Linked DNA regions of Tribolium castaneum. The protein of the gene in region 1 purifies or fractionates together with the protein of each later gene. This does not show direct contact. Links are inferred from orthologs where the notes say so. Each region holds a gene or a part of one and is shown on either strand. Other genes may lie near its edges. The genes, in order: DNAlig3 and PNKP.

Evidence for each region.
Region 2: the proteins of DNAlig3 (region 1) and PNKP purify together in Homo sapiens (co-immunoprecipitation; 5 studies listed by BioGRID and IntAct, with this or other methods). This does not show direct contact. The link is inferred for Tribolium castaneum from reciprocal best matches to the Homo sapiens genes LIG3 and PNKP.

Annotation. Positions count from the first base shown.
Region 1 is NC_087397.1:11,970,255-11,979,237, forward strand, and holds DNAlig3 (DNA ligase 3), read right to left. Parts: upstream 4,600-8,983; 5' UTR 4,465-4,599; intron 4,419-4,464; exon of another isoform or gene 4,413-4,418; coding exon 1,851-4,412; 3' UTR 1,820-1,850; downstream 1-1,819. Other genes in the region: DNA ligase 3, read left to right, coding at 5,051-6,403. UniProt on the Homo sapiens protein: Isoform 3 functions as a heterodimer with DNA-repair protein XRCC1 in the nucleus and can correct defective DNA strand-break repair and sister chromatid exchange following treatment with ionizing radiation and alkylating agents.
Region 2 is NC_087396.1:16,408,875-16,417,612, forward strand, and holds PNKP (uncharacterized protein F21D5.5), read left to right. Parts: upstream 1-3,169; 5' UTR 3,170-3,296; intron 3,297-3,345; 5' UTR 3,346-3,390; coding exon 3,391-4,914; 3' UTR 4,915-5,309; downstream 5,310-8,738. Other genes in the region: DGAT1/2-independent enzyme synthesizing storage lipids, read right to left, coding at 7,000-7,326, 7,366-7,556, 7,604-7,771, 7,820-8,056, 8,218-8,260. UniProt on the Homo sapiens protein: Plays a key role in the repair of DNA damage, functioning as part of both the non-homologous end-joining (NHEJ) and base excision repair (BER) pathways.

The DNA.
Region 1 (8,983 bases):
GCCACGTAAAGTATCACTTTAGCTCCTAATAATATTTAAAATTTTTTACTTTATTTATAATTTTTGGGAATACAGAGACACATCTACTATTTATAAAATTTAAACAAGCCTTCGATAGGGTGATTAGAAAAAAATTGTATGAGGACATGGAAGATTTGGAGTAAAAGGAAAGCTGTTAGGGATGGCAGAAGTAACGTCAGAATAAAAAAAGGTTTTAGAAAAATTAAAGTAAAAGAAGGTCGATACTATTTAATTTAATTAATACTATTAAGTTTAATTCTAGAAAAAGTTATCAGAGACAGAAATATATAAAAACGGTCTTATATACTATCCTAAATGGCACCAACGTCTAGCATTCGCGGATGACTTAGTATTTCCAACAACAAGTGCAGAAGAACTAAAAAAAGTAGTGTTGAGTCTAGAAAGGGAAGCAAGAAAAAGGGGATTAATTATAAACGAAAATTAAACAAAATACATGAAATTGTCTGAACAACAGTATACACAGGAAGAAAATTAAGTAAAACAACAGAAATAGGAAAAAGGTACAAGTTTGAAGAAGTAAAAAGTTTTGTATACTTAGGAACTGTGATCCAACTAAAACCAGAAATAAAAGAAGGAAATGGGAAGACAGAGAAGAGGGGAAAAGAATCATCCATAAAACCATGGGCCAACTAGGCCTGGATTGCTAATAATATACAGGTCTTCCGTCTAAATCCCACATTAGAAGTTGTGACAGTTTTAATAAAGATATTTATCTAAAAGTGGGTACTCAGTCATAATCCGTTGAGTTCTGCTCAATGAAAATATTTTCAAGATGACAGCACTTCCGGTTATACCGGAAGTCGCTATTAACTTTCTTATTTTAAATAAAAAGCTATGTTTTTCACTGCGTTTTTGGATTAGTTGAGTTATTTTAAGGAAGTTTTTAGCAGCTTTTCCTATACCTAAGTTTAACCGTTTTTGAGATATTTAGAATTTTTTGAAAATTTTTGAATTTGTACCTGTCACTTAAAAAATCGGTAACTCGCTTAGTTTTCGAGATTTCGAAATCATATTTAGAGAATTAAAAAAGGTCTATGTCTTCGTCAGTGTATTCAAAATTGAAAATGAAGTTAATAGACCTATGGCTAATGAATTTTTCAATCCCAACAAAAATTTATTGTAACTTAAAAACTATTAAACATAAGTTTAGGGAATGCTAATACAGATCGATGCAGAATTAAATTTTACGTTTTATTTATAAAACCTAAAATTATATAAAAAATATAAATATAAAATATTTATAAAAATTTTGGCATTTTATTTGAAAAAAATGAGTTTTGGGTGCAAACTTAACTTTAAAAATTTGAAGTTTAAGATTATTTTTTTAGAAATTTGAAAACACCAAAAGAAAGATCTAGGCTTCCTCTTTCAAATGAGCTAAAAAAAATTCCAAATTTTTAAAAGTAGCAGATCGATTTTTTAATTGGAAGTTACAAATTCAAAATAAATTAAAAACCATAAATATTTCGTAAACGGCTAAATTTAGGTATAAGGAAAGCTTATAAAATCTACCTTAAAATAATTCTAGTAATTCAAAAACCCATTAAACAGTATAGCTTTTCATTTAAAATAAGGAAGTTGATAGCGACTTCCGATATAACCGGAAGTGCTGCCTGCCATCTTGAAAATATTTTCATGGAGCAGGACCTAAAAGATTATAATTGTACACAAATTTTCAGATGCCTATCTTTTTTAGAACTTCCAATACTTCTAATGTGGGGTTTAAACGGAACATTTTGTATATAATATAATTTTTGCGAAGATAAATAACCAAATATCTGTTCAGGAAGATTTTATTCAATAAATAATTAACTGGGCTTCCAGCGTACAACAAACGGTCTATAATCACACACACTTTCATTAACCACACAGTTTTTAATCCAATCAACGGTAACATGTTTAACGTCCGGGTTACACTGATCAATTTCAGGTACCATACTGTTCAAATGTATCATATGAGTGGCATTTTCCGATTCTCCATGTTTACAAATTTGGCCACCGTACGCAATAAAGTACCTAATCAAATCCCACTGTTTTTCTCTCACTTTGTCTTCCAACACTACCTTAATATTGTGAAAATAGTCCGGTAGTGGATTTATTATTTTTACAGTTTTCGGTTCCTTTTTAACTTTCTTAGAGTTTGACGATTGCGGATCCTCTGAACCCCTTTTTTTGACAAAGCTTTCCAAAGTTTTCTGTTTCTTAGGCGAAGATTCAGCCGTCCCTTGTAGAAGTAAACTAACATCGGTATGTTCCTTCGATTTGGCAAACAATACTTTGAGTTCTTTGAGCGAAGTTGCTGACTGCCAACACTTATCGTCCCTTATTTTCGTAACCCGAGGGAACCTTATCGAGATACCATCAGCCGTATGCACCTCGTGTTTGGTGAATTCCGCTCCGGTTATCTCCCAAACGGGTTGTTTTTTCGGGTCCCGTGCCACGAAATCGGGAACCATTGTTTTGGTACAATGCAACCAATCGGGTACCTTGGCTGGATCCGAGCTGATTTTGACCATATCAAGCTCTGTTTGCAACTTCTCGAGGGTTTTATCATCGTGTCCGGTTGACACCTTTGACACGGTGCAAAACCGATCATTGGCTTCGTCGTAGCAACCCATTAGGAAAATCGACATGATGCCCCCTTTTTTCCCAGTACCGTACCACGCACCTAGGACTATTAAATCGGCACTGTCGGCCATCGCGCCCCCAAAAAGGTAATCCTTTTTGACTTTGAGCCAATGTCGCTTGCCCGGCTCATAAACACTCGTTATGTCTTTGAGCACCAAGCCCTCAAGCCCGAGCTTGAGCACTTTGGCGATCATTTGAGTCAAATCGTTCGGATCGTGGATTTCCTCCATCTCTGAGAAGACTATATGGTTGGGGATTTCCGTCATATTCTCTTTCAGGATCTTCTTCCTGAACGAGATGGGTTTATCGGTGAGGACATCCCCATTGTAGTAAATACAATCGAAGACAAAAAGACACACACTGGCGTCTTTAAACTCGGATTTTTTGTGGATCCCCAAAGTACCAAACGGGAGCGGCTTACCAGTTTGTGTATCAATCATTAGGATTTCACTATCAAGGATCAAATCCGTTCCGTGCGGAAACGCCTGAGGGATATAGTTTTTAAAATGTGCGACTTTGTGTGGCAATACCGGCTTTAAACTCCTCGAAAAGTACTTAAATTCGGAGCCTTGTTTGTGCACTTGTACCCTCTCACCGTCGTATTTAATCTCGGAGTACATTCCGTTGGGGCACTTCTTCATGGCTTGCTCCACCGATTTGCAGGCTTCCGCAAGCATGGGTAGTACCGGGGTCATTAGCTCGATTCTGGCTTTGGTGCCCTTGTCTTTCAAGCAACGATCAATAACAGCCTTGATATCCCTCGAAGACTGGAAGGCTTGATAAGCGTCAGGATGTACCCCATCCAGAATATGTTTCGCCCCTGCGTTCATCCGAAGATCGTGTTTGATCAATCGAATGACGATTTTTAGGTCATTTGCGGTGCATTTGGACGCAAAAGTTTTCAAATGTGCTGTTTGTTCCTCTTCTTTGGTCAAGTTAGTGAGGTCTTGAAGGAACTCATCCACTTGTTGGAGGGTTAGGGTACTTTTCTTGACCGGTTTAAACGATTTACTCCTCTCGTAGAAGACCTGAATCGTCTCACTGACATCCCCCTGTTCCAAATGCTCCAACATTGCGTCTTGATCGCAATGGAAAATCTTGCTAAATAACTTAACCAACTGTTTGCTTTGGAGGTTGTAGATGCGTTTGACGAAACCAGGGAGGAGCAAGCGGCACCAAAGGACGATATCGCCCTTAAAGCCCGTCCCGTCGCTCCCTTTTGTGAACATTTTACTCACAATACTTGTCTTTTCAAGATAACTACTGACGTTGCTAATATCGGCCACAACTCTCCGGAATTCCCGAAATTGATTGTCCTTGTGTGACGGATCAAACTGGATAACTGGACCCGAACTGTCTTTACTACTAGTACTGGGTTTTGCCTCCTGAGGCGTTTTCTTCGGACTAGGCTTAACCCCATGTTTAGTTTCAAAAAAACTGTTACATTCCTCGACACGCTTCAAAATATCGCTCTTTTGCTCGTCATCTAGCAACACCCAGCCGTCGATATCCTCAACAGGGTCATCAATTCGTTTAGTTGTGGGTCTCTGCTTCAAGAAAACTTCGAAAAGGCAATTGACATGATGCCAGTTTTTCATTTTTCCTTCTCCAAAGGGGTTGGCAACCAATTTGGCAATGCGCAACTCGCCCTGGGCACACTTCTGCTTGCATTTTTTACAAACAGCACGCCCCTGCTTTGCGACTTCCACCAGAAAAGGCTTTTCAACAAGCTCATCTGACATCTAAAAGTGAGGTTATGTAACACACTATACTCAATTTTTGATAAACTTATACCTTCAGTGCAGAAAAAAGACCTGGAAGAATTAAATCAAATGCAAGGCAAAGACGTAAACTTTATTGTTTCGCTAAAATAAAATAAATAAATAGGTTTGTACAGTGGGTAACGTGTAACCGTTGAACTGATCAGCTGTTAGTGTTGTTGCCAGTTTTTGAGGAAAAAGAAAGGTATTTTATAATTAAAACGACTCATTTAACCATTAAACAATACTTTATTGAAATAACAAATCATTCTCCCTACAACAATTTATTTTCAATACCTATCTTTATCATTTCTGTTATCATTGGACATAACCTGCCACCTGGGCGAGCTTAAATATACTAAAATTTGTTTATCCTTAATATTTGAATAATTTTTTGCCGCTTATTAAGGACCGGTGTATAGAAGTGTCATTAATTTAATCTGCAATTAAAAGCGTGATTAACTGATCACGTGACCAAATTGAACAAATTTGATTGGTCCATTTGTGTTGTTAACTTTAACAACGAATTAAATTTTAACAAAGCTTTGTATAAACCGGCCCTTAATGGGAATGCGTGTTTGTTGCCTTTTTGTGTGAGTCTTACATAGTTTAACTTCCAGATGGAGGAGAAGCCCTTCGCCGTGGAGGTGGCCAGGCAAGGGCGCGCCCTTTGCAAAAAATGCCGCCAGAAGTGCGTTCAAGGCGATTTGCGCATTGCTAAATTAATCCCGAACCCTCTGGGTTCCGGTAAAATGAAAACTTGGTACCACGTAAGCTGTATCTTTGAAACATTTTTAAAACAGAGACAAACAACTAAAAGAATCGAGGGCCCCCTGGACATCGACGGCTGGGAGTCACTCGACCCCGACGATAAAGTGAATATCTTGGAAAAGATCTCGCAATGTAACCGGGAATTTGAAGCCAAGTTTAGTAAAAAAAGACCGAAAAAGGGGACCAAGCCGCAGCCGCAGCTTGTCGTCGACGACAATTTGAGTAATTTATCTGATAATTGCACGACTGAGGAGGTTCACAAGGATAATTGTTTCCGCGAGTTTCGCAGGATCGTGTCGAAGCTCCCGAAGGTGTCAAGTTCCAACGAAAAAATCAGCATTTTCCGCGAGATTTTCACGAAAGGTTGCGACGGGAGCGGTTTTAAGGGCGATGTCGTTCTCTGGTGCAAACTGCTCCTCCCTGCGGTGAACAAACGCGTGTTTCACTTGCAGACCAAGCAACTGATTAAAATATTTAGCAAGATTTTCGCGGTTAGTGAAGAAACAATGACTGCTCACTTGGAACAGGGCGATGTGGGCCAGACCATCCAACATTTCTTCGAAGAAAACGCCGAGTGTAAACCGGCGAAAAAAAGCACCTTGAGCCTCTTTGAAGTGGACGATTTTCTGGAATCCTTGACCACGCTGTCCAAGGAAGAAGATCAGTGCAACCGCTTCAAAACTTTCATCAAAAAGTGCACAGCGAATGACTTGAAAGTGGTCATTCGCTTGATCAAACACGACTTAAGGATGAGCGCAGGAGCGAAACATGTGTTCAACGGACTGCATCCGGAGGCCTATTCGGTCTTCCAGACGTGCAAAGACATCGCCACTGTGATAAGCACTTGTCAGGGGCGCAAAGAACCCCCGAAGAAAAGGCGGAAAATTTCCGAAGAGAAACGCAAATCGATTCCGAATTATTTCGAAAATGTTAGGTTGTTTTTGGAGGAGGGGGTGAAAGAGAGACACGCCCAGTGGGTGAAATATTTTATTGCCTACGGTGGGTCGGTTCTCACCAACGACAAACCCGAAGAAGCGACTCATGTTTTGCATTTGAAAGACACTATTTCACAGCCGACGATTCACTGTGCCAACAGCGCAAAACATGTTATTGTGGAGTGGATTAAAGATACAGTAGCAGAAGAGAATTTGCAGGATTATAGGCGGTATACAGTCCGGTGGGATCCTTGCCATAAGGATTAAACAATTTGTTATTATTACTCTTTTATCAATTTTTCAGAAGAAAATAAATACAAAATACGAATTCGCCTTCGATTTTACTTTACCCCGTTTACGTGTTGTAATAATAGCTAATCAATAATTCCACATGTGCATAACATTCAAACTGATGTTAATTTTTAATAAGTATGTTCCACTCGGTACTGTTTATAATGCGGTATAATAATAAAAATATATCGTGGGCTTAATCCAATTAAAGCATTAAAACCGAATCCATCACTTTCAATTTATTAATTTCTTATCGGTTCTGCAACATACGACCAAAAATTAAAATGTTTAAAGTGAGCGAACACGTTATTAAAGTTTAGTCATAAACTCACGTTTTACTGTTTTAATTTTTCTTTAATTAAACAATAATAAGTTACTTACCACAGCCATATTTGGAACTCATTGCTCATATAACGGAATTAAATACCATATAGGGGTTTGAGGCAAGGAAAAATTGTGTGAATGCTTTCAGTCTATCCGAGCACTAACTACAGAATTACTGAAGTAATTAAAAAATTAACTGGAAAAAATAAAATTACAAAGATAACCACAAGATCAATAAACAATAACATAACACAAACAAAAATTAAGAATAGAAATAAACAAAAATGAATCATTAAAAAAATAATCTATTACTATATGTGCTTTTTGACTTTCCTGGAGTCTACAGGGTGATTCAAAAGTGTCGGACAAACTCGCGTATGGTGATAAAGCACATTCAGTTATGCACGAAAATGAAGTCAGATTTTTTTCAAGCAACTTTTTTTAATATATTTTTTAATTTGTTTTCCATAGCAACGGTATCGATTGTTGCTCTTTTGTTTCCTAGGACGTAAAATTTAATTTGTTGTCGTATTTACAAGTTTTTATCTAATAATCTAATCGAATAATATTATCAGCGATTTTTTTCAACCATTCGTTTAACTGTAATAACATAAAGTTGTATTTTTTTAAATAGGAATCATAGTTGGCTATGACATTTTCGAAAAGCTTATTTTTTCTGATTTAATATGTCTATTTGTGTACTACATTAATTTTAAATATTTAAGAAAAAACAAAACATTTCGCTTTTTCTTTATAGTAGGCCACGAAAAAATTTTGGATTTTTAATTAAAACTATAAAAATTGCTTTGCCCAACAAGTGTTTATAATTTAATGTTTTTTTAAACCCTAATTAATTCAAAAACAGCATAATAAATTATTATTAGATCAAATTTTTGCAATTAATAAAAATTATTTGTTATTATATTTAAAATAGCAAGCTTACGTTGTTATTCTATTTTACAATTTAAATATGAAATGTCGGGACAACAAAAATCTTATTAATTGTATGATTGCGTATCAACAAAATTTTATTTTACAAAAAAATGTCAGTCCAAACGCCAAAATCTAATTCCATCTGCGGTAAAAAATACATAACATTATCAACGTCACCTACATTTCACTTCACTAAATTATAAAAAAGTGTCATCAAATGGTAGTGTCACATCGTTTTCAATTTTCTGCACATTTTTTATTTAATTGAAATCTGTGACGATCGTACATTTGTTCAACTGAAAATAACTTGTTTTTATAATTTCACATTTTTACTTTAATAACCGTTCACACAATTTCTAGATTATTCACACCTTTTATGCGAAATAATATTTTCATGGCCAACTACTTTCAAATATTTTAAATATATTTTTTATCAAAAGTATATAAAAATATCAAACTATATTTATATTGTTTTGAGTTCAGAAAAAAATAAGCTTTTCGAAAATATCATAGCCAACTATGATTCCCATTTGAAAAAATACAACTTTATGTTATTACAGTTAAACGAATGATTAAAAAGATCACTGATAACACTACTAAATTCTCTGTAAAAAAGTGCCTTTAATAATGTCTTTGTTTCAAACGTGTATCTTTTACAATAAGGAAGATATGAATTTTTTAAGATTTCGCTAAAATGCCAACTTTTGATTATAAGTCGAAAAGAAAAGACAACGATAATGAAGATTTGTCAAAAATTATTTTCTCAAAAAACGGACCCGAGAATGTGTCACTCGTTTTTCTCTAAACCTCTTACGAGTAGTTTCGGAGATCTCCTATTCGGACATCCAAAATGCAGCACCCTGTACAGGTATTTTTGAATCACCCTGTATAATTTGGGTAACATTACCATGAACATTTTGAAAAAAAAATCTTTTTGGTTAGATTTTAACCATATATATTTTTTTTAAAAAACGCATATAGAAAAAAAAATTGGGCATTCTTTAGCTAAAAATAAAATTACAAAGATTCAAAAATAACAATAGTCAAATTTGGAGAATAATTTTTTGTTGGAAAAATAAATTTTAACAGAAAACTGGGAAACGTAAGACTAGCCTAAACTGATAATATAACGGATTTTGTGTCCACGTGAGCATGAAACACATTTTTTAATGATAAAATTGGGCCATTATTTTTAATTTCACCCAAAAATTAATTATGGTTTAATTGGCGATTTGATTCCTTGTCGCTCATGCGCTTTGTACAAATCCGTGGTATTTTATAAAGCCGGAGACCCGGAGG
Region 2 (8,738 bases), on another chromosome or scaffold:
TTAAGCACCTGCACTGCGATAATTTCGGGATAATCGGATCGGGAAAGCAGTTTTGAATGTAAAACGATTTTTACCGAAAAATAAAACAGCGAAAGCAAATTCTCAAGATTAAAACGTTGCACCTAATTTAATCTCTTAATTAACCGGTGCACGGGATTAATAGCTCCAATAGAATTGTCTTATTAAATTTCTGGCTTTATCCCGGGGCGAGGCGTTGATTTTTAACAAACGGCGGCGGAAATTGCGAGAAAAATCAAGTCGGGCTTGCCACCGGAAACCGAACATGTCCCAAACTTTACGATCGATAATTGTTAGAAAGCGTTTAATGAGATGGACGAGGTCTAATGGGAATCTGGAGAGGTCGCAGCCGGGAAAATATCACGCCACTGACCGCACGATCAATATTTCAAATATTTTTTAAATTCCGACAAGAAAGTGATAAATTCCGCACAATCCCAGCTGTCAAAAACTGAATTTTGGATTTCGGAGCTCATTTTATCCGGTCACGTAAACTTAAAATATTATTTGGGAAAAAGTAAATGATGTGTGCTGTTTGCACTAAAAAGAATTATTTTTCGGTGTAAGTAATCTTGTTAGGGACGTGACTTAACTTACAACAGAGTGTCGTAAACACTGGGTACTAAAACGGAAAAACACCTCCCTAATTGCACAAACTAAGTTCTGTATCCAAATTTTATTCCGGTGTGTACACGACTTTGATTTTACTTCTGACTAGATGGTATAAATTTTATGTGAAACGAAACTCAAGACGAGATCAGTTCGGAAACATGAAAAATCTTTCAATGTCGCACACAAAACAAATTTGAAAGAAGCACTAACCCGGCGCATCCACCAAAATTAATTACCAGCCCAGAAACTAATTTTCTATTTTGTAAATGTTCTAAATAGCGATTTTGCTGCATCAAATACCCACTTGTTGGTCTGTGACAACAATTTCATCAATTTATCATCTAATAGAAGCCGTGACAGTTTACAGCTGTTTGTGCGTTTTTAGACTGTGGCGATAATTTATATTTCTGTCGCCTCATATTTCGACCTATGTATTCCGACAAAGGATTTTTTTCTATCATAATACAAAAGAGTTTTTTGCCACAACTGCGTTGTTGATGAAAACAATAATGTCTACGGTGCTACTAATTGGCTCTTTCAAAGAGTTTTCGAAAAAAAAAAGTAATAAGAAAAATACAATAACGTATAATATATACGAGGATAGGATAATTAATTCGTACAACTGCTTTTTCAATAATTTTTATGTTTCATGTAGTCCTGTCCTTTCCTAGTGTGACATTAAATTTTACCAAATTCAGCCAAGCAATTTTTAATTGCTGTCTTATGAAGTGTCATAAGTTTCCGGTTTTTTTTAAGAAATGGTAAACCTAAAGTTCGAACTGTAAAAAAATATTTAAGTATTTAAAATCCGTTAAATTTTGTTAAAACTGTATTCAAGAATTTCACTGGGGCCATAAAGAACCTAAGAGTGCACCACGTTCAGAAAAGTCGAAAAGAGCTTCTCCTTTAGAAATGGTGAAGAAAGTACACAAAACGGTATTGTAAGATAGTTCAGACCTTGATAGTTTATAAAAAGCAAATACATCATATCTTTTATCAAGTTTTGGATTTGAAAAAAAAATTGGCAAAATGGGTGCAACACAACAACGAAAAAATTAGATCTGGAGCTATTTTAGCGCAATCGAATGGATTTTATTCGCCAATTTATAACAACTAGGCTTGAGCCCACATTCAAGAATTAAAAAAACATGCAAAAAAGAAATATAAATCAAATTTTAAAGAAATGACTGCTACAATTTTTTTAAGACTTACAAGAATCGTCCAACAAGGATGGGATAAAGACCTGACCTAATCAGGTGCATATACAAGGTGTTTTTCGAGCTCTACCATTGAGATCTCACTTATTATCAGAGATACGAGGTCGGTTAAATTAGAATAAAGTTGCGCATTTTTATACTGAACAATTACCTAATTTTTAGTTTTTAAATTATTGGAAAAAAATTGTAATTTTTGTTTTAATTTTTTCAAGCAAAAACCAAAAGAACTAGGCGTTTTTAACTAAGATGTTTAACTATGCATTTTTCTACAAATCATCTAAACCCGTCATTGTATTTTCCAAGAGGTTCTTGATGTCAAAGTTACAACACCCAAATTTGGTTTTTCTTATGAAAGACATATTTGCTTTATCTATTTTTCAAAAGTGTTTTTATTCCTGATTACAACGATGTATCACATAATATGATCGAATCTTACATCCTGGTCAAAATGGAGAAAAAAGCATTTTTGTGAAGAGTCCTTTGGACAAAACGTTAACAACTTTGTTTTTAAACAAACTAGATTTTAGGGATTTAATTGAATGTGGTTCTGGAAGGTTCACATTTCTTCTAAGCTTACTTATTTAAAAACCAAACAACGTGATAATCTAGAATTTTATTCTTCGCAAAACAAAACAAGACAAAGTTATAAAAATTCTGCTTGCATATTTATTAGAACTGTCAAAATTTAGATTGTTAAACAACAATTTTAAGGTATTTTCCTAGGCGCTCTTAGCAAAAACGCTTTTTTCTTAATTTTAATCTGCATATGAGATTCGATCGTATCATGTGATACATCGTTGTAATCAGGAACAAAAAGCCTTTTCAAAAATACAAATATCAAATATGACGTACATAAGAAAAACTAAAGTCAGATGAATGTCCTACTCAAAAACGTTTGATTCTTTTAATTTTTGCTTAAAAAGTAGAAACGAAAATTACAATTTTTCTTTGAGATAATTGTTCAGCATAAAAAAGCGCAACTTTGCCCTAATTTAACCAACCTCGTATCTCTTACAATAACTGAGATCCTCATGGTGGAGCCCGAAAAACGGACACCCTGTATAACTACAAGGAGATTATACCGAAAAATAAAAAAATGTTTGGCTAAATTGATCTGAGCACAAATCAGAAAAATATATTGACCACCGTTTTGTAATTTATTCATAGACTTCTATAACAAAAAAAATGGTAATTTTTCAAGCAAACTACAAATTAGCCACTTACCAACATTGAGGAAACTATGAAGGGATCTGTGGGAGAGAACATTTCGTAACTTTTAGAATAAGCTACGCCACTGGATTGATTCTACGTCAGTGGTCGTAGTTCCAAATCTATTGTTAGTAGTTCGAATGACCACTTTAAAAATCATTAAAGTTGCGTTTTTCGACTTAGAAAACGATATTTATCTCACTTTTTATAGTTTAAATTATCTCGTAGTATTTGTGTAAGGTAATAAAATTGACAACCGTATTAAATTATGTTAATTATGAATATTTAGGTAATGCATACTATCCTCCATAACCTCTTATTTGCGTAAAATGTCATGGCTCTTTCTTCGCGAATTTGTTACTTAAGATGCGTAAAAAACGCCCAGAAAAGGATCACTTTGCCTCACCAAAAGGCTGTAATAATCGGCCGAAACGAAGAAACGGGAATCACGGACTTACACGTATCCAGAAATCACCTCGAATGTACCGCAGACTTGGACTCCTCAAAAGTCCTCGTAAAAACCCTCGGTAAGTCCTATTCCGGGTGCAACGGTTACGCCTTAATGCAAAATGAAACATATACTCTCAAACACGGCGATCGAATCGAAGTCAGACTCGGTTTCCACGAATTTGATATTATTTTTGAATCTCAAGACGAACCCGTTGTTAAAAAACCAAGACTAGATTTTTTCGCAATGAATTCCAATAACTCCAATAAGAATTTCTCAAATGCGGGCAAATGGGAGGAGATCGACGGTCGGGACCTACTCATTTTTACGACAGACAACTGCGAGCCCCAATCAACAATTGCAGCGTTTGATCTTGACGGAACCTTGATCAAAACCAAATCGGGGGCGCGGTTTCCGAAAGACCCCAACGATTGGGTCTTGAACATCAATTCAATCCCTCAAAAGCTGCAAAAACTCCACGACAAGGGCCACAAAATTGTCATTCTAACCAACCAGTCGGGCCTTAGTAACGACTTTAGTAAAGTCAAAGGCTTCAAGGGAAAAATCGAAGCAATAATCGCGAAATTATCAGTCCCCGCACAAGTTTTCATCGCCACTGGAAAGTCGATTTACCGCAAACCAGCCCCCGGCATGTGGAACGTCCTTAGCCAGTCCAAAAATGGGGGCTTAGCGATCGACATCGAGAAGTCTTTCTACGTGGGGGACGCCGCCGGACGCGAGAAAAACTGGGCCCCCAAGAAGAACAAAGACCACTCGATTTGCGACCGACTTTTCGCCCTGAATGTGGGGCTCAAGTTCTACACCCCTGAGGAGTATTTTCTCGGCGCTTCGTCGGTGCCCCATGTAATGCCCGAGTTTGACCCGAGGAAGGTTGGCAGCAATGACTACCCCCATTTCGCCTCCGATAAGCAAGAAGTTATCATAATGGTGGGGACCCCAGGGTCGGGGAAAAGCTACTTTTGTAAGAACTTTCTCGTGGCAAAGGGGTACGTCCATGTCAGTCGGGATAAACTGGGGTCGTGGCAAAAGTGTGCCAAAATGTTGGAGGATTGTCTCCAGAAGAAGCAAAGTGTGGTGATTGATAACACGAATCCTGATAAGGAGTCAAGGCAAAGGTTCATCGATGTGGCGAAACGGAATCAAGTCGATTGTAGGTGTTTCCTTATGACGACGAGTCACAAACAGGCCAAGCACAATAACAGGTTTAGGGAAATGACGGACAAGAGTCACACTCCAGTGGGGGATTTGGTCCTCAACTCATATAAAAAGGGCTTTCAGGAACCGGAAATGGCCGAGGGGTTCTCGGAAATTGTTAAAATTCCGTTCATTCCGAAATTTGATAAGGCTGAGCATGAAAAGTTGTATAAAATGTTTTTGTTAGAGGACTAATAACACAATTTTGTGTCACGGTTGACCTCAACATGTCAAATGTTTAAAAGAAATGCCCAAGTCTAATCTCAGTTTTCCATTATACCTGATACCACAGCTGATACCTTTCTCTTGAAGACAGTATACAAGTGATTCAAATGTCTCGGACGATCTCTTAGGAAGTGATAAATGGCATCAAACTGAGTTAAAAGCTTTTATGACAAGAATTGTTTGAGCCTTTTTTCGCTGGATTTTTAATTTGAGTTTTTGGCACTTTAGATCATTTTTTTAAATTTATTTAGCATATACATCATGCAACATCTGTTAAAAAACACCAATTAGCTGTTTCGAACATTTAATAAACTCGTAAATTAGCCAATAAATCAAATTTGACATCATTGGAAACAAAACAACAAATAAACGGTGGCTAAGAAAAACAAACAAACACAATATATTAAAAGTTAAAAAACAAGTTGCTTGGGGAAAACTCTGACTTAATTTTTAACGTTTACTAAACGTCCCTTATTACGATACGACAATTGGTTCGACACTTTTGAATCGCCCTGTATAAAAGAAAATATATCATCGACCTTTTTCGAAAAAAAATTAAGACTTAGTTTTATTTAACATTAAATTGATAAAATAGCAGTTTTGTAAATTTTAGTAAAACAAGAACAGCTTGCAAATGTTTTGTTTTAGTAACAATTTAGACATTAATTGTGAGAAAAAGACATCGAACATTTTAAGAAAGATTTTCTTCACTCGAAATACCTAAACATAACTCTCAAAATTCATGTAGTATTTTATAATGTATCACAATTTTAATAATATGTGAATTCACGTTTAGGAAAATTTAACGTCCTGGTTTCTAAATCTGTAGATGCCGATTAAAAAAAAGTTCGAGAGTATAAATTAATAAACTACTCATTAGTATAAACCCACCGTATAAACTAATCAGAATTTTCTGACAAATTCTTATAATCTGTTTTATAGTATTTTATTTTTTATTTTTAACTGTTTTATTAACTCGTTTTTTTAACTCAATTTACAGCCATTCCAGGAATAATACAACCTCACACCAAAATACAGGATTCTGTTTATATTTAATGTTTTTTGCGATAAGAGTTTTTTGTTGTGAATTTAAAATGGGAGAAGACGATTATTTAAATTGAATTAATACATTGGGTTCTAAAATTTACATACATTGCCTTGAAGTAATAACATGAAATACTCGTACTATCTACATCTGAAGTACTACAACTGTTGAATAATTTTTGAAGTGTTTTTCTAATTTCTGGTAGTTTATAAAATGGAAGTCGGTAAGTAAATTGAGTGGTAATTTCTTCGTAAATTTTGCTGTCCCGTTCGTTTTTGCAAACATACAGAGATGGGCAAAAGTAAGGAACCAAGCGTTTTGTGTCTAAACTATGTACCTTACGAAAGAAACAATTAATACCTCATCAAGTACTTTAAAAGTGTGATCATTTTTCAAGAATAAAGTTTTTCGAAATTCCTTTTAGTTTTCGAGTTATTCAAAAAAATTTTTTTTTCAAATGGCACCCTAACAAAGTTGGTGAATCAAAGTAGAATTCTTATCCACCGTTCCTATATTACTCGAATAAAAACATCCATAGATACAACCACTTCGGCCAAGAATATTCCCAAAATCTTCGTAGTGCGATCGAACCTCTACTTTAATAATTTATTAAAAAAACATTGATTTAAAAACAATAGGTACTATTGCATTAGAAGTCAATTTTCGAGCATAATCTTTTACCAAAAAAAAATCAGCAGTTTTTGTTTATTATACACGTTTTTATATTCAATTTAAAAAAAGTGCTATTGAAGTCTCAACATTTTTTCGAAAAACGTCGATGAAATATTTTCTTTTAGATCTTGCAAACAGAAAGGTATCGGATATAATTAAAAATTGAGCTTAGTCTTAGACATTTTTTTTTCAAACATAAGAATCTTCAAGGAGTGTGAAAGAAAACTACCAAATTTTGTACTATCGTCCTTATTACTGTACATCCACCAATCACATAAAAATAAATAAAACTTTAAGTACGTACAAATCCAACAATAATTAAGCTACGGAATGTCCCTTCACTCTTCATGCTGTATCGAATTCCTGGCCCTAAAATACGGTATTCGGTCCATGATCCCGTACAATATGCTCCCCGGTATCCTCTGATGCCTCTTGATGAGCTCGTTCAGACTGGCCGCGACTTTGGCTTGCAAGTCCTCGGGGGTCAAGTTGGGGTCGTAGGCTATGGGTTTCCCCACATGACTGACCATTTTCACGGGGAATCCCCCGTAAATGGGCGCGAAAGGAAATTTGAAAATGGCATACAACCGCAGGAAAATCCTGCGGCCGATACTCAAAGTCCGAAAGGCCTCGCGAAGATTCTCTGTAAACATCGGAATAATCGGCTAAAAAAAATCAAAAAGGGGCCGCAGAAAGGCACTCACAACTTGCGCCTCGAGGGCCACTTTGGCGAAGCCTAGGCGCCGTTTCCACATTAGGTTGTAGTGGTGGCTGAACTGGGCCTCATAAACTCCCCCGGGGGAGATCGCGAGGACGTTGCCCTCCTTGAGGAGGTTGGAACAGGTCTGGATCGTGCCCGGAATGACTTTCATGCAGTCGGCGATAATACTGAAACCTATCTCTTGATTTATTTTGATTTTTTTTGGCGCTGTTAAGCCTGACCTGGAATTCTAAACAGGAAATAGTCGGCAACGGTGTGGACCAGTCTGTTTTTGTAGAAGAGGGTCTTTGCGAGGAAATAATAAATGTCGATCGGAATGGCCCCATGGTAGTAAATTATTAGCGCGGGGCCGTTGTCTGGGATGTTTTCGAGACCTTGGATTTCATACCCTTGAAATAATTACTCATTGCTGGATATTGGGGGGTCAAGGGACATACCATGCCAGATCCATCCGTGGGCATCCCAGACCGCGGCGGCAGCCCTTCGGGCAGTCTCCCACTTGTCTCCCGTTTGTAAAGTCATCCGAATGCTCCGCCAGTGAAGCTTGTAAATGTATAATATAAAAGCGGTGAGGTATAGCAGGAGGGCTATCACCATAGGAAGCAGAAAGGATATGAGCAAGGGGGCTAAACACCATGTCAGCCATAAGGAGTAATCGATGTCAATGTATTCGACTGGAAAAGAAATTAGGTCAAATGTTACACAATCAAAATTCGCGCCCTTTTTTTAGGAACCGGTGCGCTTGTTAAATTAATTCCAATGTGTTTACACCCAATTAACCGAACAGAGTGTTACAATAAATAATTAATTCTATTATCAGAAGGTTATCACTTACCCACGTAGCCTTGAATTGTTTGTAAATACGACTGAAATGTCATTGTTAAAAACCTACACTACAACAAAAAAGGGCACGCGTTTTTCTTGAAATTGTTACAAAGTAATTATTAGCACATTTATCACAGCTTTTACAACAATTAAGTTATTTAACATTGCCTTGTCGGACACTCGTCACCTGCTAGGTGTCCATTAGAGAGAGACAGTGACAGAACCTGAATTTTTGCAAAGGAGAAACTCCAATTTTGCAACATATAATCGAACATGTTTACATGTGACGCAACATTTTTTTCGTATGGAATTCCCAAAGCAATAAAAGCGATTAATTAAAAGAATTGTAAATAAATTTGACATGAGAGAAACGAACTACTCGAGAAGTCGAGACATTTGACCGAAAAAAAAGGTATGTATTAACTGTTTCAAAACTATAAAAACGCCTTACCTCATTATTTTTTGATGACCTCCTTGATGTATGGAGACGACGTTGTCAACCCTACATCAAGAAGGCCAAGGTTTTTCTAA